Linked DNA regions of Nothobranchius furzeri. The protein of the gene in region 3 purifies or fractionates together with the protein of the main gene of each other region. This does not show direct contact. Links are inferred from orthologs where the notes say so. Each region holds a gene or a part of one and is shown on either strand. Other genes may lie near its edges. The genes, in order: ghitm, tmem59 and pomk.

What was found.
Region 1: the proteins of pomk (region 3) and ghitm purify together in Homo sapiens (affinity purification with mass spectrometry; 3 studies listed by BioGRID and IntAct, counting the BioPlex papers as one, with this or other methods). This does not show direct contact. The link is inferred for Nothobranchius furzeri from reciprocal best matches to the Homo sapiens genes POMK and GHITM.
Region 2: the proteins of pomk (region 3) and tmem59 purify together in Homo sapiens (affinity purification with mass spectrometry; 3 studies listed by BioGRID and IntAct, with this or other methods). This does not show direct contact. The link is inferred for Nothobranchius furzeri from reciprocal best matches to the Homo sapiens genes POMK and TMEM59.

Annotation. Positions count from the first base shown.
Region 1 is NC_091756.1:41,666,831-41,676,933, reverse strand, and holds the start of ghitm (growth hormone-inducible transmembrane protein), read right to left. Parts: upstream 5,192-10,103; 5' UTR 5,084-5,191; intron 4,763-5,083; 5' UTR 4,741-4,762; coding exon 4,609-4,740; intron 3,887-4,608; coding exon 3,784-3,886; intron 3,562-3,783; coding exon 3,450-3,561; intron 3,358-3,449; coding exon 3,216-3,357; intron 3,093-3,215; coding exon 2,984-3,092; intron 891-2,983; coding exon 702-890; intron 1-701. Other genes in the region: chst3b (carbohydrate sulfotransferase 3), read left to right, coding at 9,734-9,936, 10,011-10,103. UniProt on the Homo sapiens protein: Plays an important role in maintenance of mitochondrial morphology and in mediating either calcium or potassium/proton antiport. Mediates proton-dependent calcium efflux from mitochondrion.
Region 2 is NC_091751.1:44,168,401-44,178,659, reverse strand, and holds tmem59 (transmembrane protein 59), read left to right. Parts: upstream 1-3,363; 5' UTR 3,364-3,432; coding exon 3,433-3,588; intron 3,589-3,771; coding exon 3,772-3,877; intron 3,878-4,088; coding exon 4,089-4,183; intron 4,184-4,252; coding exon 4,253-4,405; intron 4,406-4,520; coding exon 4,521-4,593; intron 4,594-4,731; coding exon 4,732-4,855; intron 4,856-4,970; coding exon 4,971-5,088; intron 5,089-5,229; coding exon 5,230-5,382; 3' UTR 5,383-5,818; downstream 5,819-10,259. Other genes in the region: cdcp2 (CUB domain-containing protein 2), read left to right, coding at 1-128, 206-511; tceanc2 (transcription elongation factor A N-terminal and central domain-containing protein 2), read right to left, coding at 1,738-1,926, 2,054-2,247, 2,370-2,511, 2,590-2,688; lrrc42 (leucine-rich repeat-containing protein 42), read right to left, coding at 7,857-8,152, 8,223-8,307, 8,386-8,499, 8,586-8,671, 8,747-8,868.
Region 3 is NC_091746.1:36,265,673-36,276,111, forward strand, and holds pomk (protein O-mannose kinase), read right to left. Parts: upstream 4,783-10,439; 5' UTR 4,689-4,782; intron 3,958-4,688; 5' UTR 3,887-3,957; intron 3,802-3,886; 5' UTR 3,723-3,801; intron 3,244-3,722; exon of another isoform or gene 3,205-3,243; 5' UTR 3,199-3,204; coding exon 2,947-3,198; intron 1,464-2,946; coding exon 693-1,463; 3' UTR 476-692; downstream 1-475. UniProt on the Homo sapiens protein: Protein O-mannose kinase that specifically mediates phosphorylation at the 6-position of an O-mannose of the trisaccharide (N-acetylgalactosamine (GalNAc)-beta-1,3-N-acetylglucosamine (GlcNAc)-beta-1,4-mannose) to generate phosphorylated O-mannosyl trisaccharide (N-acetylgalactosamine-beta-1,3-N-acetylglucosamine-beta-1,4-(phosphate-6-)mannose).

The DNA.
Region 1 (10,103 bases), on a different chromosome or scaffold from region 3:
CAGGAGAGAATTTTCAACGAGCGCTTCCGCTTACGCCTACTGTTTTCCAATGCCCCCACCCCCGTGCCTTTGCCGTGTGCGCGTGCATGTGTGTGTGAGTGTGTGTAACCAGTTTGTGCCCTGCTTGTTGATATCAGAACCTGCGCTGATCCTGCTGCTGTTTTGTAGACCAGTTACATTCTAAATGGTTAAGTAAATACAGTAACTAGTGTTTGTGGTAGTTTACATTGAAATCCATCTTTTGCTGTAAAAACTGCCTTTAAAATTATGGAAATGCTGCGTTTCTCTGCAGGAGTGTGTGTGTGCTTGTTCATTTTCATCTCTATAGTCTGTTTAAATACACAAAAATGATCACATTTATCAATCAGTGTTTTATTTTGAATTTTTTCTTTTATTTTGTCAAATATACCAGCCAGCCTCTTCTGCTTTGGTTTGACTTCCTGCCAAAATTGACGGGGCTCACTGACAGCTCACGAAAAAAGAGCTCATGCCGAAACGATTGCTGCACGGCGCGGGCCTTCGTGGCGCTTCGCAGCTGATGTGACCGAGACCGTAGGTTAACAAGGGCGCCGATTAGAACCGCTCGTCGTTCCACTGCGCTTCATTACGCTTCTGCGTTTGGTGTGTTCCGGGCGTAAGGATCCTGTAGTGATAATCCTCACCTGTAATACTATTTAAGAACAAAATGTAACTTAACTAACCAATAGAGGAAGCAAACACTACTCCAAAGCCGACAGCCAATGGTCCTCCCATGTTAAGGAACTTTTCACTTGGCGCACACATGGCCACTGTAGAAAGGCCTCCCACAATGCCTGCTGTGTACCAGGCAGCCCTTATCATCAGAGGTCCTCCCAGGAGAGTCAGTGGAGCAATGACCGCACCCATCACACCTGATGGAAGAATCAAGAAAAAAAATTAAGAATAATGATGATAATAATAATAATAATAATATAATTTTTACAGCCCTTTTATATCAAGCACTGAGCAGACAAGATATTTGCAGATACAATAAGGCAGATAGGGTAAAAAACAGTAATATAACAACTGTACAGAATAAAAAAAGTGTTAATAAAATTTCTGAAATGACAAAAACAAAACTATAAAAACTATATCAAATGTATCACTATCTATGATCACAAACAACAAAACTGATTTGGTAACAAGTGTTACCTGTGTAGATTCACAAGACCATACTTCTGAAAAATGTTTTCTGTGATCCTTTACATTACTGCCCTCTAGTGGCTCTAGTATGAAACGGTGCGGAAAATCTGAGTCACAAAATATGTTGGTCAAAACAAAAGCAGGTTTCCCAGTAATTAGACAGATTCGTGCTGAAACCAAACAATTATAACACCGTTGGAGGTGCTGCGGTTTCAAGCTAAGCCCTTTTAAAGCACATCACAAAAATGCTGAAAGGACTAAATGTTTTTTTCTCGTTCTTAAATATTTAGTATAAGAGGTTTGTTGTCATTTTAGAATAAATACTACTTTGTTTCTAAATGAAGAAATGGTTTCTTCATCCATCTGAAAACAGCGCCTCTTGCTGGAAACCAGAAGTTGCAGAAGAAAAAAAGTTCCCAAAAAATGGATTTGCAGCAGCAACAATTAGCTCCAGATTGTGAATATATGAACATAAATTTATGCCAAATACTGAAGCTGCACAGCCATACAGTTTTAAGCCAGCAGCAAGAGTTAATGGGAACAAGCTAAACAGGGATAATCATTGAAATGGTGAAAGAGGAGCTGCTGAAGAGCATTTTTTATTTAAATATATTTCAACAGAAACTTGTCCGCTGACATATTACATTACATTAAACACGTTTCCATAAAAACAATTTTTGTTCTCTAATTTATGAGTTTTTAAGGTAACTAAATCATAACAGTGGCAACGAGGGGAACTGTAAAATAGTTACAAAGCTTTTGATGTTTGCTTGTTCAAGTTTAATTCAAACAGACATGAAATATATAATAATAATAATAATAATAATAATAATAATAATAATAATAATAATAGTATGTAATTTTAACAGTGATGTTGAGAGCAGAATAAAAGTTTTTACTTGTGTCTTTACTTCATTTTGTGGCATTGGAATTTCATGTTGTGCCTTAAAGTGACAATGTGTGTTTTCTGTGGCGATAGGGGGCGGTACATACCTAAATCATTGCAAGCAAGCGGTATTTTTGTGTTCGAGTAAGACCTTACCAATGGATGGCCATTAGGGTCAAAAATCCCTGAGAGCAGGCCTCCAGCAAAATAACAAGCACATCAGACTCCGTCATCACTGATAACGAGTGAAGAGGTAAATGTGTAAAACACTGTTTATGAATGGTGAAAGTTTTGTTAGAAATCTGTAAATGTGTTTTGTCCTCACGAGCTTCCATAGAAGGAAACAGGATGTAATCCTGATTCTGTGGATAAACTGTAGGTGAAAACTTTCACACCTGTTAATTCTTCCATTTAGGACTGGAAACTGTTTAAAATCTGTAAACTATTTTACTTCTTGTTCCCGCAGCCTCCCTGAATTATTCACCAAAAATGTTCCGGTATTAATTCATTCACAAAGAATCCCCCTCTCACGCCGCCAATATTTTCAACAACTGAGCATCATTTCATTTATTTTCAACAACATTTTGATGGATACATCCAGAGATTGCTTGTAAAAACTACACATTGTCTCTGCACTACATTTGGCAAGTTTGGATCTGGTCACTCTACTGGGAGGACATCCCCCATAAGACTGCCCCCCTCCACCACGCAGATGGAGCGCAGCAACCCCAAACACTGAACAAGAAACTGTACAGAAACTGCAGGTAAAAAATCCTGGTACCGCCCATGCCAAGGGCACAACAGCAGAATTCCCTGGAGGGAGCTAGGATCGATCCCACAACCCTACAGTTACTGGTTAACATGCTCTACCTTCTGAGCGACTGCTGCCCCAGCACTATGCCAACAAATGTTTCAGACACTGAATCACAATCAAACCTGCATGAAGCATCCAAGCGAGATGTTTTGGCACCGGGCTGTGCTCGTATGAGATGGACCGAACCAACATTCCTGCTCCAATCATTGCTGCAAAAGTTGCTCCAATGGCCTGGAATAAATCAGGAAAGTTCATGTGAAATAACCCATCTGAAAAAAATGTGTTTTCCCTAAGCATCTACGCTCCTACAAATATTTAGACTCCTTTAAAATGAACCAAAGCAGCAAAGCTCACCAGCCAGGATCCTCTCATCATCAACCCCATGAGCACCGGTGTTCTGCTCACAGCTACAGCCGACAGAGCAGTCAGTCCAACGCTGCCTGCAAAGTACATGTAGGTGGAGTGGATCCTGTCCTTCACATACTGAGGCCAGATCCTGCACAGGAAGAGATTAATCTTTAGAGGATGTGGAAAACCTTTTGTATGAATGTGGAGCTGCAAGAGTAAAGATTAAGCTCTGACGCTCACATCGATTTCTCAACGGCACCAATTTCATTAGACATGCCGAGTCCATAGTAGCACAAAGCTCCAAGGCCCAATGCTGCACCTCCAGCCAGAATCATTCTTCCCATGCTGTCAACTAGCAACAAAAGCAGATTTTACAGTTGTTTTTATACATTTTCCATAATGCCACAATATTATCCACAGCACTGGAACATTTCCTAAGTTTACGATCTTCTACACATCTAACACTCCTACATTCTTTGAAAGTTGATCTGTTTAAAGTGCTGGTTGTTATTTAACAAGCAATGGAAGAATAATGGGAAACAGCTATGTAAGAAGGCTTAATTAAAGCATCTACTTTTGATGGCTGTATCTGTTGCAGGTTCAAAAGCTGCTTCTTTCAGTTGCTCTCTGGCGGTCTTCACACGGCGGAAACCAAACCTGGCTTTGGAGGCGAAGCCCTACAGAAAGTAGAAGAAATGCCCAATGGTGACTTAGAGCTGGAATTTAGTTAGAAACAACCAGGAAGAACTACTAAGTTTGATCTAGTGGTAAAGATGTAGAATAATCTAGTGACGAGGGTCAGTACGGCTCCTAGTCTGGGATCTACCTCAGTTCTGTACCGTCTCAGAGCAGATATAGAGCTGGTTCTCGGCTTTATCAGCTCTGAAATGGTTGCTAATAATTAGTCCTGTATTGGGAGTAGTCTCAGAGCTGAAAGACACAGTTATTATTTTTGATGCACAGAATTAAAGATGCAAATATAGGAAGAAAGAGTAAGCTATTCTGTTGTGTTTTCTATGTCAAATTCAAACTCCCAACTAGGATGGGGCGATGGTCGAATAATTCGTCCCATTGCCCAACCCTAATCCCAACATCAATCTGTAAAGTGTGCAGAATCACAAACTTTCATGTTCCTAAAGCTAAGCAATCACTTGTTAGGGTTTTGGTCCGATAAACTAACCACTCAATCCTTACAGATTATAGTTCTAAAGTGCCTAAGTATGAGTTCAGGAGAGCCTGGAAGTATATAAAACCACAGCAACACAAAGTAGTGTAATGACATTGTGTGACATTCTTGGTTAAACAAGATTCAGATGAAAATTAAATAAATATAATCATTTTTGTTCTGATTAAAGAGCCACCATGGTCAGCAGAAATAGGTGTGGTAATATAACTTTACCTGCTGGGGTGTGATCAGCGTTGGACAGGCCTTGAGGGTGGGAGCTCTGAGGGCTGAAGAGCCCTGAGACAGAGCAGAGCGGAGCCCGAGGAGCGGGAGCGTCCTGAGACATGTCAGCCTCGCCACTAGCATGTTCGGTGCTGTTCTGGTCTGTCTGCAGGAAAATAAACAGGAAGCCAGGGAAATAATTAGACTGGTAATCCTCCTCCTCAACTGCGGTGTTTTCATTATGAACAGGTATCTCGTTAGGTGAAAGGCACTAAACAACCAACAAATATGCAATATTTACATTTTAATAAAACAAGCCAGTGCAGATTAGCTTATTTACCCTGAGCTAAAGTTCGTAGCAACAGTTAATGACGTAATGGATTAGTTACGACTCTGACGTCCTCACAGATCACAGCAATCAGACAAAACAGGTAATAAAAAACATGTCAATGATCCCAACAAGACTTTAATAAGAAACGATACTCACCGAAGTGTAAGAGCAACACTCTTCCAGTCACCTCTCTACTACAAGAGCGCAAGTTAATGACGCAATCGTTTTGCAACTCACCTTCCGGAAAATTCTAGCAGATGCGTCATGATTAAGCGACAGATATGGTGGGAATTGTAGTTCAAACATAGATACAAATATCTATGTATATCTAGTGCAAGCAGATTGTTGAGCGATGTAAACTGCTAAGAACCAAAAACAGCAGCACATGCATACATTTTTTTTAAAGAAAAACACTTTATATTTTTAACCAAGTCTCACAAGTCTATAGGTGATTATATTGAATGAACAATAATTAGTGTTACATCCTTTTCAAAAAATGTGTTAGCTAACATATTATATTATATTATATTATATTATATTATATTATATTATATTATATTATATTATATTATATTATATTATATATTATATTATATTATATTATATTATATTATATTATATTATATTATATTATATTTTATATTATATTATTCAGACTCCAATATGCTTTATTACCTCCATAGGATAAACATTTTATTTTTTGCTTACAGAAGTTTAAATCAACATGAAAGAGAAATTGATGGATGGAATAATGGAAACCATACAATAGTGTAGAAAAGAACAGAAACAAATATTATTAGGTCTTTTTTTTCTTTTTTTTTTACATTTCTGAAAAAGGACAGTTTTGCTTTTGCTGTGAGTTGCACTATACAGTCTTAAAGCCAGGAATTGTTTTCTGTTGTGTTTAGTGGCGTAACGTGATGCAATGAGCATTTGCTAAACAAAGTTCTGCAGCTGATCAGCATTTTTTATTATTGTTTGTTATTTATTGAGTTGATCTACACACACCCTACCAAACAACAAACGGACAAACGCCTGATGAACACGAGATTCCTGTAAGATTTCCATTCCACTTTCATGATGCAGATTGTGCATCTGTCCACTAGATGGGGGTCAAGGTCTATTGTTGAGATCACAACAGGGATTTTAACCATTAAATTTGCTCTAAAATCGCTACATCTCTTTGGTTATTTAGGGCAACATCTTGGTTTTACCCTGATAATGTATTTAAATTATGTTTGTGTTTCAAACTAATTTTGTCTGCAGTTGTTTGTTGTCTCTCAGCTCTCCGTGAGGGGCGCGCCTCCTGCCTCCAGCTCCGCTCCTCTGGTCCAAAATGTCCTGATCGATTCAGTGAGCTGAGACACTTGGACAGACTTCAGTTCACTGGAAAGATTGACCTTCAACCTGCGTAACATGATTTCGCTTTTCCTGTTCATTTAGTCAAATGAAAGAAGTACAGATGCGTTTTGGGGTAATAATTGTTTTTGGCCACATAACTGAAAGAACATTGGGAAAGTTTGGGATCTCTCTCCGGAGTCGCACTTTCAGGACAGGCTGAACAAGTGGATGAAAAGAAGGACGAATTCATAATGGTTGGTTCATTTCATATGTCATTGTACAAGCTGTTATGAAACACAACTTTTAACTATCTCAGATTATCTGTCAAATATTTATCTGACTAAATTCAGTACGTGCAGGATTATTTTGTTTTATTTTATTCTTCCTTTACCCCAAGTTTTGAATTACATTTATCTGACTTCACAAAAATAAGCATTCTTTTTAAATTGGAAGCTGTATTTAAACAAATTACATAAAAGTACAAAACTGTCAGTTTGTAAAAATGGTTCTAAAACAAGAAACATGGTAAATAATTCAAAAGATCCTTAGATGCTACTATTTTCATTAGGCCAATCAAATCAAAAGTCAGACCATTAAATCTTTCATTTTAGTTATTATAGTAAATTACTCTGATGGGTTTTATTTGCTGATCATTTGCTCCGACCATGTGATTACACACACAAGTGATTACAATAAATAAAAATGTGTACTTTGTATTTTCCTGCTTCTAACAAAAACAATTACACCCATTTCTCCTACTTATTTATCCTCTCACAGATATTTATGTTTGGAGAACAGTCACCATCAAACCAGGCTTTGGCGGCTGCTGTTTAATTTGTCTTCACATAAGATTTACATTAAATAAGAGGCAGCTATTAAAACCATTTGTAACAAGATGATAAATGGTGCACCAGCGGTTTTGTTATGAGCAGATGATCAAACGTGTCACATGCCTCAGTGGTTTGTGAATATTCACCAATGTCAGCTTGTGTGTATTTTTTTCTTCTCTTTTTAACACAGCAGATGCAATAAGCTGGGATAATTGGTGTACATCTAATGTACTATATAAATGACAAAACATCTGACTGCTTATTTACTTGATGAATTGTTGATGTGGAATACCTTTTTTTCAGTCTTCAAATCAGAAATGAAGGATGGTGCAGATGCGGGACCAGTGTTTACAGATTTTAATCAATAATAACCTTTTTTGTGTCATATTTCTCATAGTGTTCTTTTACCAATTAGTTCAGGTAAAGTAACTTTAGAGAGTACAATTAGATTGCATTTACAATTTTCTTCATTTCATGCATTTGACCATCAGACCTGTTCTAGTTGAGCTGTAACATCCAACAGTGTGACGTGTGAATGACCCAGCAGTTTATGTTCTGCCACCTCAGCCCCCCCACCACCACCAGAAGGGTCCGGAGTCACTCCCATGTAAAGGGACCTTTGTGGTTGTGGCATGCAGCAGGGTGGTGCAAGACAGCGTTGGATTTTCCTTCCAATGAAAACACGTCTCAGTACATGGGCTGTTCACCTTTTCATTACACGCCATTCCACATCAACAGTGCTCCACTGGAGCTGCAAACTTCCTGTTCCCACTCAGAGAATTTCACAGGCAGCACTCAACCGTTCCTTCTGTTTAGACTGCAGTCACTCGGACGCGCTCTTTTGCTCACAACTGGCCGGGACAGAGGTCGCAACAGGATGTAGAAACTTTCACACATTCAGGTTCACTCGAAGTAAGAAAATAATGGTCATTTATCAGGACTACATGCAGTTTTCGTGTCTAACACCGAAAAATGATAAGCATGAGGTGTTTGTTAAAGGCGTAGTTCACAAAAAAGTTGTTTTCAATATTATTTCTGATTACCATTGGTCACTTTGAGTTTTTCATGGAGGCTGAACATGATTCTGATAGAAAACCGACAATGAAACGCTAGGATTAGAAAAACCCTGACAGATCTACGTCACACTGTCACTTAATATTCATGGACTCACTCATATTGACTTAGGAGGAGGAAGGCTGTTGTTGGTTTAGCGTCCAGGAAACAGATTGTCTCGGCTAGTAGAAGCTAACCGTTAGCATTAGCAACCCCACCACACAGCAGAACTCCTTCAGGCTTTACTTATTTGTGGAGATAAAACATCAATGTTGAAAAGCAAACACAGTGAGTGGGAAAGTTGCATTGCTATTAGCCAAGTAGAGCAGAGATATGTCAGAACATCAGGAAATAAGACTCTAAGATCGTCTGATGCTACTTTCGCCTCCAGCTGACTTTTACTTCCTGAAACAGGTGCATCTGAGCTTCTTCTCCCCTGAGTATGACTTACAAGGCACGTGTATATGTTCAACAAGTAAACCACACCTTTAAATGAGGCATCAACGTCCTGCTGATGCTTTAGCAAATTTTTCTGTGAAGGGTGTTTCAATTACTCTTATGAGTATTGTTGACTCAAGAAAGGTGGCAGGATTACGTTAAACTCCAGAGATTAGTCAGGGATCTGCATCAAGCTGCTGCTATCTTCAAAGTAAACTACTGGTAATATTAATCTTTCAGAAAAGCGCAACATGTTCTAAACACGTGCCACAGCCCTATTTCTGTTTGAATAGCAGCTGATCGCCGCCTGCAGCATCCTGAGTTGCCCCCGGGTTTGGAGCACCATAATTTATCCTTCTGCAAGCAGGCCACCCCTTCAGTTTCTGCACACTTACACCTCTCAGCATTTAGACATGTGTCAGTTTCACTTTACGCTTTAGAACCACACAAACAGAAGAGGTCAACAAGGGCTTCTGTTGACAAAAAAACGTAGCAGATGGTTGTTTGGACATCGGGCTGCTCGGCTGCCTACATCTGCGGGGGGTTTAGTGAGTATCAGTCAAAGCCAGACAACTTGTGAGTTTTTTGGCTAGCAGCTTTGTAGTTGTGGGATAAGAGTTTAATTGGGAAGATTGTGCTTGATTGCAGCCTGTCGCTCACATTTCACTGTGCTGCCCCGGTTGTTTTTCTGCTCAGTTTTGAAAACATTCTAGACAGACTAACTCCTAAATACAGTGTCTCTGTGCAGCGGCCCTCAGTCTAGCTTGGTGGGTGGGCAAGTTCCTAAAATGCACCGCTGCATTTAAAGATAACAAGGACTTCCTTACAGAGTAGATTCTGTTTTAACTGTTGTTTTCTCTGTTTATCTTCATATGTAGAATAGTTTTGTTTCTAAGATAAGGTTCTCATCTCATTTTTGCAGAATTGAGAGCTGCTCTTGTCGCATGTCTAAACATTTAGGGAAGCTTTGCATTTGACTCAGCATCACAGTGCAGTTTTCTGTATCCAGCAACAGAATCAACTTCTCCTAAAGACCAAGCAAATATTACAAAGAGCTTGAAAGAAACTGAGATCAGACGCAGCTGTCCTCCAATGGGCAAAATGTGCAACTGACAGATGGATGTGTTTTTTTTCCTCTTACAGGATGAAACATCACCTACGACAGGGAATACAAACAACCAGAAGGCTCCTTAAGAAGGCAACTGGAGACTTGCGAGATTGGCAGAACCTATTAGGAGGCAGCGTGCGAAATAATATTCATCCAAGAATGAGGATCAAATACACAATACCCATCGTCTTCTTCATGGCACTGGTGATCATCGAAAAGGAAAACAAGATCATATCAAGGTAAGTCTTTGTGCTGTCGTGAACGTTAGGTTCACCAAAAAGGCTGTGCGTTTAACTTTATCTCCCTCTCTCAGGGTGTCGGATAAAATCACATTGAAGCAGAACGTTCCAGACCCTCTCCAGCCTGGTGGTCTCTCCCACATGCTGCTGAAGCACAATGCTTCCTT
Region 2 (10,259 bases), on a different chromosome or scaffold from region 3:
CTCAACAGTCCTTACCTCAGCTGGACCGGGAAAGCATCTACCTGGGCAACCCAACCTGCACAGCCCAGTTAACCGCCACCTCATACAAAATACTAGCACAGTTTGTCAACTGTGGCACAGCCAGCCAGGTACCTAGCTTTCTTTATCATGATTTTAAAGACAAATATCTACATTCTTTAATTAATGGCATATTGATTCCTTACAGAAACACCGGAACATTACCATGCTTGTGAACAAGCTCTACATAGACTTCTCCGATGGGAAGCAGCAGAACGTTCAGGAGTATAAGGTGCAGTGCGATGCACTACGCAAGATAGCCTCGGTATCGATCATTTCTGCAGAGGAGCGTCGCCTGGAGGAGCAGGCCCAGCAGACGGATGGAGACAGCAGCAGTTCTGCTGCAGAGCCACAAACCGAGCCTCATGACTTGAGTGATATTGTCTTCATCAGCATCTGTGTTCTAGCTGTCATTCTCATGGTGATAGCTATTGTGTGGTTAGTGCTTCTTTAGTGATTTAAAAAATAATATTAAAGGAGACATGTGACTTTATTTCTCAAGAAATATTATTTTATGGTCACGTTAAGTGATTTTAGCAGTTTTATTTTTGACATTTTCAGTACCTTCCAGAATGAGTCGTTTCAGGGCTCTGTCACTTAAAAAAATAACAAGTTAGAGCTGGTCTGCCCACCTCTCTACCACTCAGGCTGCTATAAGCTGAGAAGTTCTGATTCCCGGGAGGGGTTCGGAGTAGAGCCGCTGCTCCTCCGGCAGCAGATCTCTCCTGAAGTGAGAGATGGTTGTATGCTTATTTGCCAATTTTTGACATCACAAACAGCCTTTTCAAACTGTTTTAGTCGTATAATTCCTAAAACCAAACACTGACAGAAAATGAATGAATGGGTTTTTTCACATTTGGAGTGTTTATAGAGGCAGTAGAGACCCACATGGCAGCAGAAAATTATGCAAAAGTCGAGTTTTGCTAAGTATATCCTTTTCAAAACTTCTATAAAGTTCATTGTTCTGTTGATTATCCTACACTGCTCCCAGATCAGTTGTAGCCAGGCTTGGCTGTTTGGTAAAATAATGCCAATATTTCAAACTATTCATTACTTTTTTAAACTTAATACAGATTTTTTATGTGGCTGTAATAGCATTTCATTTATGCCATGACTTTGATTAAAGCCTGTTTTAATTATGATATAAACTGTGATCATTTGTAAATGACATGTATTTGATATAGGGCCTTCTAGAGTCTTGGAACCCCCCAAGACACTTTACAACAGAATCAGTCATTCATCCATTCACACCCCTGGCACACTTACAGAGGTGAGTCTGCCGTACACAGGCGCCACCAGTCCCTCTGAGCACCACCAGCAGGCAAGGTGGGTTAAGTGTTGCTCAAGAACACAGCGACAGATTGAGCGAGGCTCGAACCTGCAACCTTCCCATTCCGGGGCGAGCACTTAACTCCTGTGCCACCGTTGCCCATTTGGACTTGTGCTTAACTTGAAACTTGACTACTATACAGTAAATCTGTTAGAAATTAAAATCAGCTACAAAAGACAAAGTTTTTTCTGGTCATCATTTCTATTAATTAACAATTTATCTGCAGTAAAAAAAGTGTAAACATTCAATTGTTTTGCATTTTCTTCAGCAAAGACAAACAAGATGATATAAGCTTCATGAAAATGTGAATGCATTAAAAACTTAGATTTCACTGTCTGAGGCTCTGTTTCTTATTTTTTGTATTTAGATACAAGTTGTTCAACTGATATTTTACTGTCCTTCACTTCACTTCTGACATCAGGGTTGTGTTTGAATGCAAACACCAGCGCTCTAACCGTCCGCCTGTATGAACTGCTGACTAACCGCCGGCTCTGGTGAAAAACCTCTCTCTCCATGTTGTCTATAAGACCAGAATCCTCCTGTGTGTCAGACAGAAACACAAACAAGAGAAGACTGTTACAATTTTTAGGAGAAAATCAAGAGATCAGAGTAAAACAAAAGGAGTTCAACTATGACTACAAACTTAACCAAGAGGCCTTTTCTCACCTTGACCTCTAGTGCATTAGACAGCATTCTTCGTGCGTTACTCCTGAGTCCCTCAGATTGTTTGTCAGAACGTACTTCAATAGATGGCTTATTGGAGTTCTCCTCAATAAAAGTCCTCCAGTCATTGTAAACCTTTGCTGCCAGTGAGCTCACCTCAGGATCAAGATGCTTTCGCATTTTGTTGACAGTTAGACCTGAGGGGAAAGATATTTTCAACAAGGACCTTTTTCACACTTGCATAGCTTTTGTAACCTTCTATAACCAACCAGTGGACATCAGCACAGCATAAAGGAAACAAGGTTTTCCTGTTTTGTACCTATTTTAGTGCTCTTTAGCACCTCTCTGGATGGGATCTTCTTGCTGAGCTCTGTCAGGGCACTCAGCAGGTTTTCCTTTCTCTGTTCTGGCAGCTCCAGCGTTGACTTGTAACGCATGATGTCCTCAATCACCACCACTCTCTTACATAAACACCAGAGAAAGCTACTAAGTAAACATATCTATCAGGAACTCAATTCACATAACATCGATTTGCTCACCCGTAGGGATTCAATTGTAGTTTGTTTGTAAATCTTTTCGTCGCTTTTCCATTGTTTGGGTATTTCACCTTTAGGAAGCCGAACTACAAACTTGTCCATCTTCAGAAAACAAAACTGCAGCTTGAATTTGAAGTTAAAACAATCTATTTTCCGACCTTCTGAGCTAACTAGTGACCTTCTGAGCTAACTGAGTCTAAGCTAACAGATGCTAGCAGTTGCCAGGTTAAATGTTACCGCTCCAGACCCACCCACGTGAAAAATAAAGATATTGAACCATTTCTATCTCAAAATAGGAACGATTTTTAATCCATTGTGTATAAATGCCAGTAGGTGTGTAGCGGAGCGTAAAGGCATCTGAAAGTAAAATACTTCCGGTAGTTTCTTGCAGTAGTGATGCTGCCTTCAAGTACAGTGAGGAATTGCTTAACTGACGGTTAGGGCAATTGAAACCTGTTTGTTTCAAACATGATATAAAACACGTAATGAACATCCAATTCTAGTGTTTATCTGTGAACTTTATAATCTTAGTAAAAATCAGTCAATGAAACGATGTTGTTTGTTGCATGCAAAAAGGACCAAAAATAAGATGTGACTCAAGAAAACATAAAATCTGATATAAGGCTACTTCTTTATAGATTCGAGTTTTATCATGAAACATTTAGTTTTCTATACCAAATATTAGCCATATAATTTAAGTCAAATGTCATAATTTTTGAAAATATATAAAAAAAACTATTTGGGAGTCATGAATAACATTTATCGCAAGTCTCGCGAGAACACGAACCGATTAGGGTAGATGAGGAAGAAGACGGAGAGTGTTGTTTGTTTGGGTTTTCAGCCAAAATGGGAACGGTGTCTCTTTATGTTTATTTTCTGGGACTTTTTGCTGTCTCCGTGTGCGCTTTTGCGTCTTCAGACGTTTTTGACAGCGTTTTGGGGAACACAGCATCTTGCCATAAGTCATGTGGAATGACATATAGTTTGCACACGTATCCACGGGTGAGTATTCATTTTGCTCGGGAGTTGTTTCGGCTAGCGCTAGCTTGCTAACGTTTGGCGAAAATGGCCATTTTAAAATGTTTGTTCTGTCTTTTGATGGTTTGTTGTCTGCTGTATAAATTTGTTGTTTAGGCAATAATCAAAAGTGCGTCATGTGTCGTCGATCTTTCGTTTGTTTTACAGGAGGAGGAACTCTATGCCTGCCAGAGGGGCTGTCGACTTTTCTCCATTTGTCAGTTTGTTCGTGACAGCGAAGATTTGAATCAGACTAAATCCGAATGTGAATCAAGTAAGACACAAACTGAGCCTTTGCTTGTTTAAATCTGTTTCTACACAGCCTTTAGGCCTCTAAGACTAGCCTTGTAATCATTAACAATGAAGCAGTAAATGTTTGTTTGCTGGCAACCCTAACACCAGTTTCAGACCTAAAACACCTCCTCTTATAATTTTATTGTCTGTGGTCCTGTTTTACCAGCTGTTTTTTTCTCAAACCTCTGCAGCTTGCAAGGAAGCATACATCCAGACTGATGAACAGTATGCATGCATCATGGGATGTCATAATCAGCTTCCATTTGCTGAGCAGCGGGTTGAACAGGTACACTGATCTACTGGACAGATTTGTTTCGAAGGGACAGTGTGCACAGTATTTAATTTGTTTCTACAGTTGGAGGCCATGATGCCCCGGATTCATCTACTTTTCCCACTGACTCTGGTTAGAGGGTTTTGGGATGATGTAATGAGTCAGGCCCACAGCTTCATCACTTCCTCCTGGACCTTCTACCTACAGGCTGATGATGGAAAAGTTGTCATTTTCCAGGTATTTTAGACACGAGCTTGATGATCTGCTTTAACTTTATTTGTAAACAACACGGTTAACTCTGTTATTCAACAAATATTTTTAATTCTGACCCTCTATTTCTCGTATTTCACAGACTGAACCACAAGTGGAGTTCTTTTCCCAGCTTGAATTGAACAAAGACATTAAGGAGGAGCCACAGAAAAGCTGTATGCATTTCATAATCCTTAATCTCTCTGGCCTTTTTTGTTGTCATAATATTAATCACTACACCCCCATTCCCTTTGCCTTGCATGGAAGAAAGTATGCTTAGGTTTCTTACAAGTTTTTTGTTTCTTATCTTCAAGTTGCTGATCTAAGCAATCCTATTTACAAAGAATACCATCGCACTTTAATCCAAGAGAGGGACAGAGATATGTCTGGTGATCGCAGCTATGATGATGGATCTAACCTCTTCAGCTGTCTGTCCAGGTTTGTTTGTTTTTATATCTGTTGTTGGGAGCTGATTATCTGGACAGAGCAAGAGTTTTATTAGCACCAAGGTTCTTGCCTCTTTGAAGCTTAGAGTTTGCACTTTTCTCATCAGGAACCCTTGGCTACCAGGGTGGATCCTGACATCAACGTTGTTCCTGTCTGTGTTGGCCCTGATCTGGATCTGCTGTGCCACAGTGGCCACTGCTGTGGATCAGTATGTACCTGCTGAGGTAAAGCCTGAGAAGTTCTTTCCAACATCTCTTTAGAACTAAGATCTAATCTAGGGGGAAAAAACATCTTGCCTAGATCCTGGAAGTTTTATATCAATTTTATTTTTGAACTGAAAATTTTTTTAATTGTTCTCCTTTTAGAAACTGAGCATCTACGGTGACAAAGACTATATGAAAGAACAGAAACTGATTCCTTACCCATCCTCCTCTCTGATCGTCATCTCCTCCAAAGGGACAGAGGAAGAGGCGGGACCACTTCCATCCAAGGTCAACTTGGGCCAGTCTGACATCTAGAATCCAAAGATGAACTCCAGAAGCAATTTCCACCTTTAGGAATAATCTTCACCTGATTTTTATCCTCAAAATGAAGACCCAAACTGCTTGTGGTATCAGCAGAACTTGCAGAACATTTTGTATCAACTGAACTTTTTGACGCATTTGAAACTAGGGTGATTAATGGGTATAACGGAGGCATTACAGACTAATCAGGGTAGTACAATAAAAAGGTTTCAGGGCTTTTCTTTAATTTTTGCTGTGTAGGTGTCGTTTATTGAATGTTTATTTGAACTCTTTGTGACTTGAAGTGATGCAAGTGTCACCCTTAACCTACAGCTTTTTGATGAATTAGTTTGTGCTAACTCTGCAGACTTTTCCCATTTGTTCTCATGTTTTTATTGCAGTGATGTTCCAATAACATTCTACAGTAAAATCTATGATGAGACAAAAAGGCTTTTATGCTTCAGTTTATTCCCTTAAAGAAGTGCAATTCATGAAAACTGTTTGAGGTGGATTTTTTTGTTGCTGTATGTTAAAGTTCTTTACAAGTACCGCAACATGGCAAGAAAATTATTTAAAAAGCACATTTTAGTTTTGTCTGTGGTTTAAATTCACTGAAGCTTCTGTGTGAACCTGCAGCAAAGTAAACAAAGGTCTAACTTTTTCAACGTGTTCTGTGGAGCATGCAAATCTCTTCTGACCAATTATTTATACTTTCACAAATATCCTGCTGACTCTGCAGCCAGCTGTTCATGCACGGCTGGAGCGAATGACTTTGGCTTTTTGTCACTTTTTTCACAATGAAGTTGTGATGGAATGTGTTTGTGAAATGGAGTTACACTACCTGCACACAGCAGAGCAAAGCAGGTCTGACTACAGTCCATAAAAACAACTCATTCGTTCTGTCAGAAACTTCCATTTGTTCCCATTTAACTTATAATAATGTATTGATTGCTACTTCTGTCAGAAACCACACAAGTAATTAATTATAACTATTTCTCACTTGGGTAGTCTTTCTGCCACTATGTAAAGAATGTAGTTTTTCCAGAGTTATAATTTTCCTTCAGGTAGATTCCCAATAATTGGATTTTAAGGGGAACTGCACTGATGTCACCTATAAAAGCCCGTGGAAAGTGCTTGCTGAAAGCAGCTGTGTTTAGCTGAAATAAAACTGCCAAACCAAAAAAATAAAATAAAAAAAGTCACCGCCCAGATTTAACTAAGCAAATAGGTTTGAGCCTCCTATTGGATAATTTCTGCATGGGCTGCAACAAGTTATTTAACCCTAACCGGTACAATCAGTTGTTTTTCATTTATTAAACAACCATGAAAGGCATCTGGTGGTCGTGAAAAATATGTTAGTCTGAGACGGGTCAGATCATTGATATGTAGAGAAAACATCAGAGACGCAGAAGCGACTACAACTGGGTTAAGAACTGTCCAACACATTAATAAAAACTGGTCTGATGAGTCCAGATGGACCCTGTTCCAGAGTGATGAGTGCATCAGGGTAAGAAGAGAGGCAGATGAAGTGATGCACCCATCATGCCTAATGCCTACTGTACAAGCCTGTGGGGGCAGTGTTATGATCTGGGCTTGCTGCAGTTGGTCAGGTCTAGGTTCAGCAACAGGATGTGCTCCAAGAATGAGGTCGACGGACCACCAGAATATACTGAATGACCAGGTTATTCCATCTTTCCTGATGACACGGGCAATGCCAGGATTCATTGGGCTCAGATAGTGAAAGAGGGGTTAGAAAGCATGAGATCATTTTCACACATGGATCGACCACCAGAGTCCAGACCTTAACCCCAATGAGAATCTTTGGGATGTGCTGGAGAAGGCTTTGTGCAGCGGTCAGACTCTACCATCATTAATGCAAAATGTTGGTGAAACATGAATGCAACTCAGGATGGAAATAAATCTTGTGACGTTGCAGAAGCTTATTATAACAATGGCACAGAGAATGTGTGACTAGTAATCAAAGCTAGAGGTGGTTCCAATAAATATTAGTGTGTTTTATGGCCGAGCAGCTTATAATGCTTTCAGCAGCTTGAGTAAGACAGCTGCACTCAAGACAACTTTGGGCAACATGAAGAATAAAACAACGTGGACACATGAAGTGATACATTAAGGTCAGCAGTTCTTTGCAGACTATCGCTTCATGGTTAAAGTTGCTACTGAATATGTCCAGAAGGGTTGTGGCGGTGTGTATTTTTATGAGGACCCAAGCGTTATAAAGCAGGAAGACCCAAGAGGACATTTTGTCCACTTTTACTGTTCCAAGTCTTTGTGGATGTTCAGCTATTTATTTGGGTGAGTTTCCAAACTGTAGAAAGGAAGACGTTCAAAATGCAACAATTTATTTACAGAATAAACATGTTTAACAAAAAACAGTTTTAGAATTTCTGAACGTTAAAGTATAACAGGATACTTCTGGTTTCTCTCGCATCGTTCTGTCACCCTCATAGTGCTTGGGTATGGCCACATTTTTAATAGCTGCTCAACAAGTCTAAGTCCTCCTCTGTAAAACCCGATGAGATTGAACGCTTGCTAGGGGGACTGTGATGTGATGTGCCATCCTTGCTTGACTTTCCCTTCCTTTTGTTGACATTACAACAGGAAGACGGGACTTGGTGGTTTCTTGCAGAAGGAACCGGCGTCTCCTTCGTGAAATCGTTTGTTACAGGTTTGCAGAAATGGAGTTTCTCTGCGTTGGACTCTGTCAATTGTTCACCGGTCAGTGGCGCTGTGTTCATCGCATCTCTGATGAACCTCTGTCTGCCAACTACAGGGAAAAATAAACTAATCATTTAGTGTGTGGAGATAAATGGTCTTTAAATTACCAAGCAACTTACAAAAACCAAGTGCAGATGCCCGCAATTCTTCAACTCTCTTCTGCTTTGGCACTTGTAAGCCACTTGTTTCCCACTGATTTACAACCTGCAAATAAATCATTTTTTATCAGTTTTGTGTTGTTCTTGTAGCACACTGTGCTCATTTATGTCTGAAATTATTTACCTGCTCTGCCCAACCTTCAGTTTTACATCCAGAGTGATCAAATGTCTCCAGGGGTCGGTCAGAATGAATGAGCCCCAACAGGTTCCACACAGTCGTCCTCAATCCTGCGTCAAGCTGGTTGTGTAAAATTAACAAAGCTGTCAGAGAAATAATAATAATTACATAAGCTCACATGCTAAAAGCAAATCATTTCATCTTACCTTCATATTGGTTGCGGATGCATCAAGCTTTAAAAGCTTTGGGAAGCATTTGAGATACCGGAGAGCCCGCTCTGAAATGGGATTGTCTGTATGAAGAAAAACAAAAGTCCTTTGTATTGGTAGTAGAATTTGTGTCAACAACCACATGAAAAACTACTAACAGGAAATATCCAGGAGCTGGAGACAGTCCAGTTTCTTCTGCATCATCCGTAAGGGCAAGGTCAGTCTTTGCAGGGCAACGTCAGACAGATGGTTACCACCAAGAAACAGCTGGATCAGGCTGCTGAGGAGGAAAAGCAGCTATTAATAACGTACCACATATATCTCCTCTTTTGTGCGTTCATGCTGTGTTTTTGTCTGTAATCCATTTTTTAGTTATTTTCTTACACAGTTTAGTAAAAACTACTTAACATGTTTCAGCTAGTAGCTCTAGCTATCCTCGGAGATCGCCAGTGCTGGCGGCGTCACTTCCTTTTATCCGCGGGCAGCAGAGGACAGTGTCGCCCTCTACTGCCCGCATCCTCCTTGCTGATGTAAAGAATGAGTCATTTACATCTTATTTATGAACCATAAAATATGAGATTCCATAGAATTATGAAATATCAATCTGATGGAACTTTGACTATTTTAACCAGAAGATCGGAACTTTTTATTGCAGGGATTAAGCGACACTTCGTATTAACTCCAAGGAAAGAGAGAGTCAGGTTTAAAATAGTTAAGAAATTTATTTCTACACAATTTAAATAAGACTAACCGCTGTACACTCTGTGTACTGATGGACTAAGGTGGAGTGAGACGTGATGAATGATGGTGTGTGTGTGTGTGGAATGTTATTATCAGAACCAGCGGATCCGGAGAAGCAGTTAGTTCTGAGTGGGAGTGAATGTTTCGCTCTAAACTTTAGTAGGAGATTTAGAACACACATGAAACGCCATCTGTCGGTCTACATACCCAGGGGAAGCCTCCGTTCAGATCCAGATTGCCGAGGTCCTCGTGGACCCTCTTTGGTACCGAAGCCGGTAAAAAAGCAGCGGTGCCGACCAGTCTAGTCTTGGAATGCTTCCAGGTCACGACAGGTTATCACTGGCGTCTCCGAGACCCTGAAGGGGTCGTGAGGTTCAGCTTTTATTCTGAAGGAATCGTTGCGGTCAGGTGTAACTTGCAACAGATTTTATCCAGCTTGTCTGAGGTTCTTTTTGGCTGAAGAAGAAGCCCGGATGGCCTGTCCGAGACTTCTCTAGAACGCTTGAACTCAAGTAAAGGTGGCGTGGAATAGTTTTTATAATTGTCATATTTTGGTTTACTGGTGAATCAGAATTTGACATGGAAATAAGGGTTATACAAACACACGAAGGTTCTGATTGGGTGAGACAAATGGAAATGTGTCGTGTGACTTTAGCATTACGTGTCTTTAGTGTCTAGTGCAAATGTCCAGGATTATAACATCAAGTAATTCCTACTGATCACAGGAATATAATATCAAGTAATTCCTACTGATCACAGGATTATAATATCAAGTAATAAACATTGTCATTTCACAGACTGATTGAACATTGGGCTCACATTATTATTAGTAATTAACAAAGTTGTTGATTATGTATTTATCAGAATAGTTCTTGTCTTCGCTTGGTAAAGCAGTTCAGATGAGCAGAGTGCATGAAAGACCTTGGCCAC
Region 3 (10,439 bases):
TGCTCCTGTCCTCTCTTTGACTCTTAAAACCTACAAAAAGTAAAATAAAAATACAGCAAAGTGTGATCCTTTCAAAAGATGTTTTATTTGTTTACAGAGAGAAAAGTCAGTGGTTCTGGACAGTGTTACCCTCTACAGAAGGCTTGTTGGAATATGCGGCCCTCCACTTCTTCTACAATAGTGCAATTTTGTCTCCTCAGCAGGCTGCTGAAGTAGAGTAACAATTTTAACATGTTTTTTTTATCAAAATGATGTTAAAATTTGAGCAGTGCAAATAAAAAAAATCACAATAAACTTTAGTTTGCATTTTTTCATGACAAAAATTAGGGCTGTCAAAGTTAACATGTTATTGCATTAACACATTCATTAATTCATGCAGACAAATATTACATCTTACTTAGAGCATGTCAACATGAAAGGAGGGAGAAAGTTTTAAACTCTTAAGTGTAAAAGAAGGCATGTCTGCTCTGTGAGTAAAACAGGCGTTACTGTCAACCAGACCGTGCACGCATCTCCAGGCTCCACCGTGACCAGTGCACAAAGTTACAAGTTAACTATGAAACTCATGTGATTAACAACTATTAAAACCTTCGGCCAACTGACAGCCCTAAAAATAATCATGTTTGTGGCCCATGAGAACTTCTACCTTGATGAATCTGGCCCTCCTACTGAAAGGTTTGTATAACCCTGCTCTAAAGCATCTCCCGAACACCAGAAGCGTCTTGCACCATGGCCCTGTAAACTGATCTGTACACTTTCAACACATCAAGAGCTGAAGGACGGAGTTTAGGGTCTTCCTTCTTGCAATCGTTGTGAATCTGAAAAAGGTGAAAGCGAACCAATTCTCCTTCGGGTGCCCTTCCCAATATGAACTGTGTCACATCTGGAATTTTCCAGATATCGGTCTTTTCATCATATGCAGGCATGGAATCATCTGAAAATAGCGTCCCATCATTTCTGACAGGCCAAAGCTGCTCTGGGGCAACAAAGTCCCCAGTGAGCTCTCGATGGCCACATTTTACCAGTAAACCTTTGGACCAGTTGACTTCGGGCAGCGCGTCCAGGTCGTTCACCACCACATGGAAGTCATTCGTTAGCAGGAACTGTGAGAGCGTTTTCTCCAGGCTGTTTGAGTCACACATTACTCGCCGCCCAGCTGGGCTGTTGTGAAGGTAATGAAGGATGGTGACATAATCTGTGGCTAGTCTCAGTCGTAAGGACCACGTGTTGTACTGCTGGTACTGCTGTTGTCTGAAAACATGTTCTAAGTTGAGCAGTGAGCCATGTGGGTGGTGCTGGGTAACAATAGAATAGTCTTCGAGGCAAAACCCCACCAACTGCACAACTAGTGAGCCCTGCAAGGCCTGCAGCATTGACAATCCATGAAGAAAGTCTTCCAGGTAATCCAGAGAGGCCAGCTTAGACAGAGCCACCTTGTGACCTGTCCACTCTGCAAGATAAACCTGAGGAGGAAAAAAAGGGGGGGTTGGTGAGCTCATAACATATACACCTCTAGACAGGATATGGGATAAATTTAACATGTGAGCTTTGTCAGATGATGAGCTTGTAGGGGCTGTGGCCATGTACAGGTGCATCTCAATAACAGGGACTTCTTTAGAATGAATTGCTACATCAAAGCTGCGTGAAATGAAGGCGATCAGACTGCAGCCCTGCTATGATGTCTTATGGCATTTTGACATCTGGACTGGCGCGGTCCGGTCTTGGTAGCATTGGCCCACCCCTGCGCGGCCAGGTTCTGTTTGCTTATTATTCTCAGGAAGGCGGATGTCTCCAAACATTTGGGCGGGGCAAAAGACGTGTGGAAAAGTCTGTGGTGTTTTCCTTTGTTAGTAAACAAAAGGAGGCCGTGAGCAGTGTTACTTTTGGAGACTCCGAAATGAAGCACACAGCTTCCTATTCTCTTACTGAGTGCTCCTCACAACAGTCTGTCCTCCTGGCTGGAGCTAGCCTAGTGAACTAGACCAAATTCTTGCTTTGCAAAGTTTGGTCTAGGCACGCTCCATTGGAACCTCCGCAGCTCCTAACAGGACTCTGGCTAGCCAATCACAGCTCTCTAGAGGGGTTTCAAACACATAAAGAGCTGTGATTGGTCCATAATGGTGGGCCAATCATAGCGCTCTATCTGCTTAGTGAACAAATCACAGAGCTTTATCCGCTTTGTGGGCCAATCACGGCACTCTGTATGCCTGGTGGGTGGGATGATGCAACAGAGTGAAACAAGAGTATGCCACATTCTCTGTCCAGTGGAATGCGGAGATCATTTGAAAGACAACGGTAGAACCCGCCCCACAACCGAGAGCCGTCAATGGAGCATGGCCAGACTAAATAATACATTTATTTAGTCTGGCTTGCCAGGCTAGGCTGGAGCAGAAGATCCCAGCAGCAGTGACAGAAGATGTTTACTCCACCACATGCAGACTGAAAATGAATCGCACATGCAGGAAGGCTCTGAGGGCTCATTCTACCCGCCAGTCAGAAGCTCCCGCTATAGATAGGCATGAACTTCAGCTGGCCAATCAGTCCGTAGAGGGTGTGTTGGGCTTAGCACAAAGCGGACCACTAGAGAGCAGGTTTAAAAAATGGTCAGCTGAGAACGAAAACCACACAGATTACCCAGATGTGAACACAATATACCTGACCAGGGCTGGGCCGTGCCGAACCAGATGTGAAAGCACCATTATAGACACCCTGGCTGCTTTTGAATTAGAAATGAGCTTATCCGACTGTTGGCTCTGGTGAGTCTCTCAATCAGATTCCGTTACATTATCAATCCCACAGGGAAAATAAAGGCTAGCTAATATAAATTACAAGTTCACGGTCATAGCTCACACTTTGTCTAATGCTTTCTGAGGTAACATATTGTCTGTGGCTGTGATAGATCCTAAAACATCCATAGCCTTTATACTCGAGTACAACTCCACCTACCTTCTTAACGGCTCCCTGGCCAATCACCTTTAGCTTGTGCACTTCTGCACGTATCTGTGAACACTGGAGCCAGGGAGTACAGTTCCTCATGGTAGTCAGTTTAAAATGTTGAGGGAGACAGCCTGCATGGGTGTGTCGCTGCTGCTTGTCCTGACTCAGATAAATCACTGCAGCACACAGAAGCAAAGCAGCGAGGCACAGCGCGAGTCCCGGGGCGTTGTGGGAGAAAACACCACTGCTGTGCTGACCCATGGTGATCTACTTCACATGGAAAGTGTTAGTTTGTGAAGGCACAATCTGCAGGTGGAAAAAACATTTAACATTTTACCTGCACAAAAATAAAATATAAAAAAATACAAGTGCAAAGTACTTTTATTTACATGCATTTTTTTTTCATAAAAGCAAACAGCAGATTTGACATGTCAATTTCAAACACTTTGTATGTGAATAAAAAGTAAAATAGTTATTTTACCAAGAAGTGAAGAACAGAATAAGTCTATGCCATGCACTCTTTGGAGTTTTATATTCAGGTGAGTTTTTTAAAAAAATCCAGGTTATCCAGTCAGTGATTCAGGCTGCTTCTAATGACCATCAACTAATTGATTTGATTATTAATTAATTAAAATTATGAATGTTTCATAAAAGAACCAAATAAAATGTTTCATTTGAGTTCATTTCCATTTCAACAACAAATTGTGTGATTTAGGATCTACCACAGACAGACAGGTGCATAAATAATAAAATGTTTTATTCCCAGTCATGGTAGTGTTCATCACCTTTCTTTCAGTTGACTTTACTCTGCGGAGGTTGAGAGCCGGGAGCAGAGGGAAACCATGGGCCAGCCTTCAGCAACCGCTGTGAAGAATAAAATCGTTATGCTGCTTTAGAGAAATAACTGTGAGTGTTAAAAGAGCGTGCATGTAAGAACAATTCAATTCACCAGGTAATCTGGGTCCAGACAGAACCTCATTTGGGTCTGGCTTCAGACTGCAGTCCATCATTTAGGGACCCCTGAGTTAGAAGGAAACATAAAGCTACAAAGGTCAGGAATGGTTTTAACTCAACTTGTAGAAACTATCAGCATGTACTTTCAGAAAAAAGAAAGAAGCTCGTCAGCACTGCAGCTCAGCTGCTGATCATCTCTGGCATGCAGATACTAAGGCTGAGTTGTGTATTTTTATTTTTTATTTTTTTTACCACGCTGAGAATAAGAGACTCGAAAGTTATGTCAGCAAAGACTCAGCGTTCTACTGATTCAGGAACTGGACCTCTGGTGCTGCACGCAGCTTCTACCTACAGCATCCTCACTTTCACAGCACAGCCTTTTCAGGTGGGGGCAATCTAATGCATCGTCATGTGTTTGTAGCGTTTTCCTCTGCACCAGTGTGCTCTGATGCACTGACCACATTTTAGCCCCTCTAATCTAATCTAATCTAATCCTACATTTTTACCCGGAGTCTTGACATCGTTTCGTGAGATCGAAGGAGCCAATCTCTCCAACGTATTAGAGTAAAACAGGGTAGAACCTATTTAGGGTTTTTAATCGAACAAACCTTTATTTATGATCCAGAAATCCTAAAGAAAACGTTTCATCCGGAGCTAAATCTGTTAAGACCTGGTTGTTTTGCAGCAGAAATATATATATAAACGTTATGCCCTAAGAACAAGCTTGAACATGGGTCTCCATCTATTGTGGAGACTAGAAATGTTTTATAATATAAATTTATGAAATTAAAGCTTACATGAGCAGACTTTACATGACATCTTTCTTCTTCGTCGGTTTTCTTCTTCGTTGGTGCGGATTGTAAGCAGTCTACTTCAGTGTTACCGTCACCTACTGGACTGGAATCTGGGACATAAATGGGTCGTCTTCCGAACTTAAATAATTTTCACCTTTATTTATACACGTGAATCTCATTGAGACACGAGCGACCTGACTAGTTTTTACTCAGTAAACAAAATGCCTCAGAGGGGCCTCTCCTCTCCTGACTGCATCTAATACAGTTATTGAACCGATTGCAGTATAAACATAACCCAGCTGGACATTTTGTTATTTTATGAAGTGTATGATTTAATACCTTGTATTGTGCCAAACCTTTTTGACTTGTACTTTATTTAATGTTACCTTTTTATGCTGTTTGGCCTATAAATCCCCTTCATGTCCTATCTACATGGGCAGGAATTAGAAAGGTTAAAAACTTCACTTTGTCATGTAGACCATAAACTGATACATTTAATTTTTCTATGTGATGGCTTTTGTGTTTTATCCTGTCAAGAGAAGAAAACTGTTATTATCAAGGATTTAGCCTAACCGTAACCATACTTCTCACTAAATATGCACATTAAATTTTTCCAAACAATTTGTAAGAAACACTTGAAACAGTGACAGTTCAGTCATGTGTGATGTATTACTCTGTTGGGATTGTGTAAATGGTTCCTGCTGCTAACTATTCAGTCAGAAAATTGTCTATAGAAAGAAAAATAGATAGGAAACACTGGTACTCACATCAGAGTTACCAAGTCAGTTGTTACTGATGCTTGGTGAAGGAGAAAAATAACATCTGTATTAAGAAGTATAAATATTTTTTAAAACGATAGATTTTTCTATGGTAGACAGAGTGTGACAAGGCAATGTGACAAGGCAATATTTCTCTAGATTAACATTTTAAAACGAATAAAAAACAGAAGTTAATCAGTGCTTTCAGAGCAGTAGGCCTATGCATTGAGATGAAAGACTGATTCATAACCTTTGGACAAGAAGCATGAATGGGGTAAAGCAACAAAAATAGATTTTAAAATAAATATTTTAATTATGATTTTGTAATAATTAAAAAGGGACAGATCAAGAACGAGGATAATTCTAATGACAAACTCTAAACATATCTTAGATAAATAATCCTCAAACAATTTCAATGATCTACAGATAATATCCTTTCCCACAATCCTGAGTAACTAGAGCCACATAAGAAATGAGTTGCACCCGAGCGTAAATGTGTAGCCGCCAAATTGGGTGGGTCTCCTCGTTCTCCAAATCCAGAGTGAGCAACTATGGGGAGCCTAAGTCTCCTCTCTTTCCAGTCGGCTCATGGGTCCCCGGAAGAACAAAAAAAAAAATGAATGCAAGTCAATGTGGCTAAAAGAGCTATTTTCAAATCCGCTTTGCCTTATGCGCTGGATCGCACATATGTTAGTAAGTAAATTAAGTAAGTAAATTTTATTTATATAGCACTTCTCACAGACATAGAATCACAAAGTGCTTCACATAGATCAAAACAAAATAAAACAAAGTCATAAAATCATAAATAGATTAACATCATAAAATCAAAATGATCTCAAAGCAGAATTAGATTAACATCAGAAAAAATAAAGCCATAAAATTATAAAATTTCATAAACAGATTAAAGAATAAAATCTGAGTTAAAAATAAGGAAATAAAGGGTTTAGTTAAAAGCAGCTTTAAATAAAAGGGTCTTCAGCTGTTTTTTAAAAGTGTTCAGACTGTCAACGCTGCGTAAAGATAAAGGAAGATCATTCCAGAGTCGGGATGCAACAGTCTGGAAGGTGTGATCACCTCCACTTTTGATCTGGACTTTGGAACTTGTAGAAGGTTCTGGTGTGTGGACCTGAGGGCTCGGGTTGGAGCATAAGGCTTTAACTGTTCAGTAAGGGTTAGCAGTAAGGGTTATAAGGAGGAGCTTGACCACGTAGAGCATTGAAAGTTATAGTCAGGATTCTAAAATGAACTCTAAAGTTAACGGGTAACCAGTGCAGAGACATTAGAAAAGGAGTGATGTTTGCCCTTCTGTTTGCTCCAGTTAGGAGCCTCGCTGCAGAGTTCTGGACCAACTGATGGCGGTCAAGGGCTTTTTTGTTAAAACATGTGAAAGGTGTGTTCCAGTAATCTAGACAGGAGGAAATAAAGGCATGGATAACCATTTCAAGTTCATGTTTTGACACCAAGCTTCACAGTTTGGAGATATTTCTTAAATGATAAAAACAGTTTCGGACCAAAGTTTTTGAGTGACCTTCAAGAGACATTGGTCAAAAACAACACCCAAATTCCTTAAGTTTGTCTTGACGGCAGAGGATAAATGACTACGTTTTAGACTAATCAGGGGAACCATGTTCTCAGGGGAAATGATCAGACATTCAGTCTTTTCAGAGTTTAACTGATGGAAGTTATCTTCTAGCCAGCTGGTGATAGCTGAAAGACACTCTAGTAATTCAGACAGTTTATAGAACTCAGAATCCTTAAAGGAACAGTACAGCTGAATATCATCTGCATATAGGTGATAAGAGACATTATGAAAAGAATCAAGATTCTGTCCAACAGGGTGTCTGTACAGCAGAAACAACAGTGGACCCAAAACAGAGCCTTGAGGTACCCCACAGAACAAATCAGTAGAATCTGACATAATTTGGTTTATACAGACACTGTAACTTCTGTTAGAAAGGTACGATTTAAACCAGTCCAGAACAGTTCCAGAGACCCCCACTGAGTCACCAAGTTTGTTACTTAAGGTGTTGTGATCAACAGTGTCAAACGCTGCAGAAAGATCCAACAATACTAACACTGTGACCTCCCCGTTGTCTGCATTCATCATGATGTCACTGGAAACTTTAAGCAAAGCTGTTTCTATTGAATGCTTTTTTACAAAAACCAGACTGGAATTTATCAAAATGGTTGTGTAGTTCCAGAAAAGTAATCAGTTGATCTGCCACAACCTTTTCCAATATTTTAGAGATAAAGGGTAATTTAGAAATGGGTCTGTAATTTTTAGGCTGAGATGAGTCCATACTTGGTTTTTTAAGCATTGGTTCAATAACTGCATGTTTGAAAACAGATGGTACAGAGCCAGATTGTAGGGATAAATTAATAAAATCTACAATGCATTGTCATGGTCCGTGGTGAGCTGCCTGCCTGTAACTCTGTTTTCTGCTGAGCATTGTCCACAGGCGGGCGTGTCTGAGAGCTACCAGCTGCAGCTGATCCCATCATCAAGGCCCAGGGAATTTAAGGAGCAGTGTGACACTTCACCACGCCGGATGATTTCTCTGTTTGGATAGCTCTAGCCTCTAACCTGCCTCGTATCTGTATCTGTATCTGTATCTGTATCTGTATCTGTATCTGTATCTGTATCTGTATCTCGTTCCAGTTAACCTGCCGCCTGAAATCCCTGAATGTCTTTCCCTGCTCTCCTTCAGGTTTCTCTCCACATTCCATCATCTCCAGAACCAACCTGGACTCCTGCATTCCAGACCACACTGCCTCCTCCCCTGGCTGCCCGCTCTCAGCCGCTCACCTGCCCTCATCAACCTCCGCTCCTCCATCTCTGGATAAATCAATTCTCTCACCTTCTGGATATCCTCTGCTCACCTGGACCTGACCAAAACCCTCCCTGTACATTCCACCGCTACCAAGAAACGGTAAGCTTAGCCTCAAGATAAAATCTCCATTATTCCACCGGTTATTCACTCTGTCTCCCTCCTCAGAACCTCCTCCTGGAATCCTGCTGCCAGTACTGAGCATCTTTGGTTCCCGTCCCTCCTTTAGCTCCTCATTTAAAAATAAACCATTTACACACTTGTTTCTGTGAAGTGATTCTGCATGTCGTGGGTCAAGAAATTGCCACCCAGCATGACATGCATGAGCCAATTTGGTTAACCATCCTGATTAAGGTAGTAGGAATGAAATCAGCAGGGCATGAGGTTGGTTTCATGTGTTTCTGAATGAGGCACATGTTCTGGAAATCTACAGGACTAAAGACAGACCAAGATTGAGGGAGGGGTTGGATGGGGGTAGGAAGTAGATGGGGTAGAAAAACTTGCCCTGATATTTCTGATATTATTCTTAAAGAATGCTAGAAAGTTGTTAGTCAGACCTTGAGTAAACTAGTTGTACTTCTATTTAAATTAAAAGTAATGAAGTGTGTTTCGACCACCCCAGTCATGTACTTTGAGATTCATCAGCTTATAAATGTTTGTAATTAGCATGACTACAAATCAGATGTCAGTATGACGCATATATGACATCACCACAGAATCTCCTCTGCTCTAGCGTAGCTGCTACTTACGAAATAGCCATATTTATGGTGTTTCTTTCCTTCCTGAAGTAATGATTTGAAGTTCGCTGAACTTACAGCCATTTTCTCTCTTTTTCTGTCTGGTTCGATGACGTCCCTTTAGTAGAGCACATTTGTAGTCCTGGACATATTTTCACACAAAACCTAAAATAACATTTCCCCCCCATTTGGAAAAAAAGCACTTTCTTTGTATCAAAACAATTCTTTTAAATTCCCGACACATGTGAAATCCATGGCACATAACAAACAGAATGAGAAAATAGCTCTTTTAGCCCCATTGACTTGAATAAATTTTTTTTGTTCTTCTGTGGACGGACCCATGGTCCAGAACTAGACCCGTTTTCTTCTGCAGCTTATGGTTGCACAACTGGCAGAAACAGATCACATGGTATTATTGACTTTTCTAGTCTACCTGTTGAGATTTTAGATTTTCATTTATTTAGTTTAAGTATATCAATAGTTTAATTGTCATGCCATATACCATATGTCTGACTTTATGAAAAAACATTGTAAAGTGGTATTTTTTTTTTAGTTGGGTAAGCAACCACCCACTGGAGGCGAATGGGGACCCATCCAGATGGCGACCCGCTGCTATGCCATCCCTTGTCCTCCACGCGTGTACGAACCATGGACCATATGACCGTCAAAAAATTTTTTAATTTCCGGTATTGGTCCACTGATGAAGGAAATGAGTCACCCTGCTTTTACTTTGAAAAGTTGGAGTGGTGACGTCACAGCTCCTCACCGACAAAACCCAGGCATCAGCAACAAAGACGTGAAACAGCCAACAACAGGTACGTCTTTGTTGTTATCATGCTATTATTACTAAACACACTTTTATTATTTTGTCTCCTAGTTTTAAATGCAGCCTGTGTTTATGTAATGGGCGCTGAGTCGCGTCCTTCAGTCTTTGAAACGAGGAAAAAACAAACCCGCAAAATAGCTAAAATTAGCTTATCGATACAGTATCAGCTACGCAGTAAATGAACACGATGGAAGCCCATTCATTAGCTGCGGGTTATAGCTCAGTAAGAACAGGTATTTTGTTACAGTTGTCTGTAAGTTTATTTGCTTCAGGCGTGTCGGGGTTGATGTGCATGTCTTCTGTTAAGACAAGCAGGAAACCCTCTGCTTTGAACACATCGAAGGGGTTAAAAAGAAACATATACAGCATATTTGGACCATTTTGTCTCTTTATTTAACACATTCAGATCTTATCTTATTTTGTACTCGTGCCACTTTGTCACCTGGATGAATGAAACCAAGAGACAGTCGTGACCACAGAGGTAGAGCAAATTATACATTTGTTCTTGACTGATTGCGCAATTCTTAATATTGCGTGAAGGCTCATAGCGGTGCTTGGGTTGAGCACGTACTCCCGAATGGAGGTGCCTTGTTTCCATAGTATCC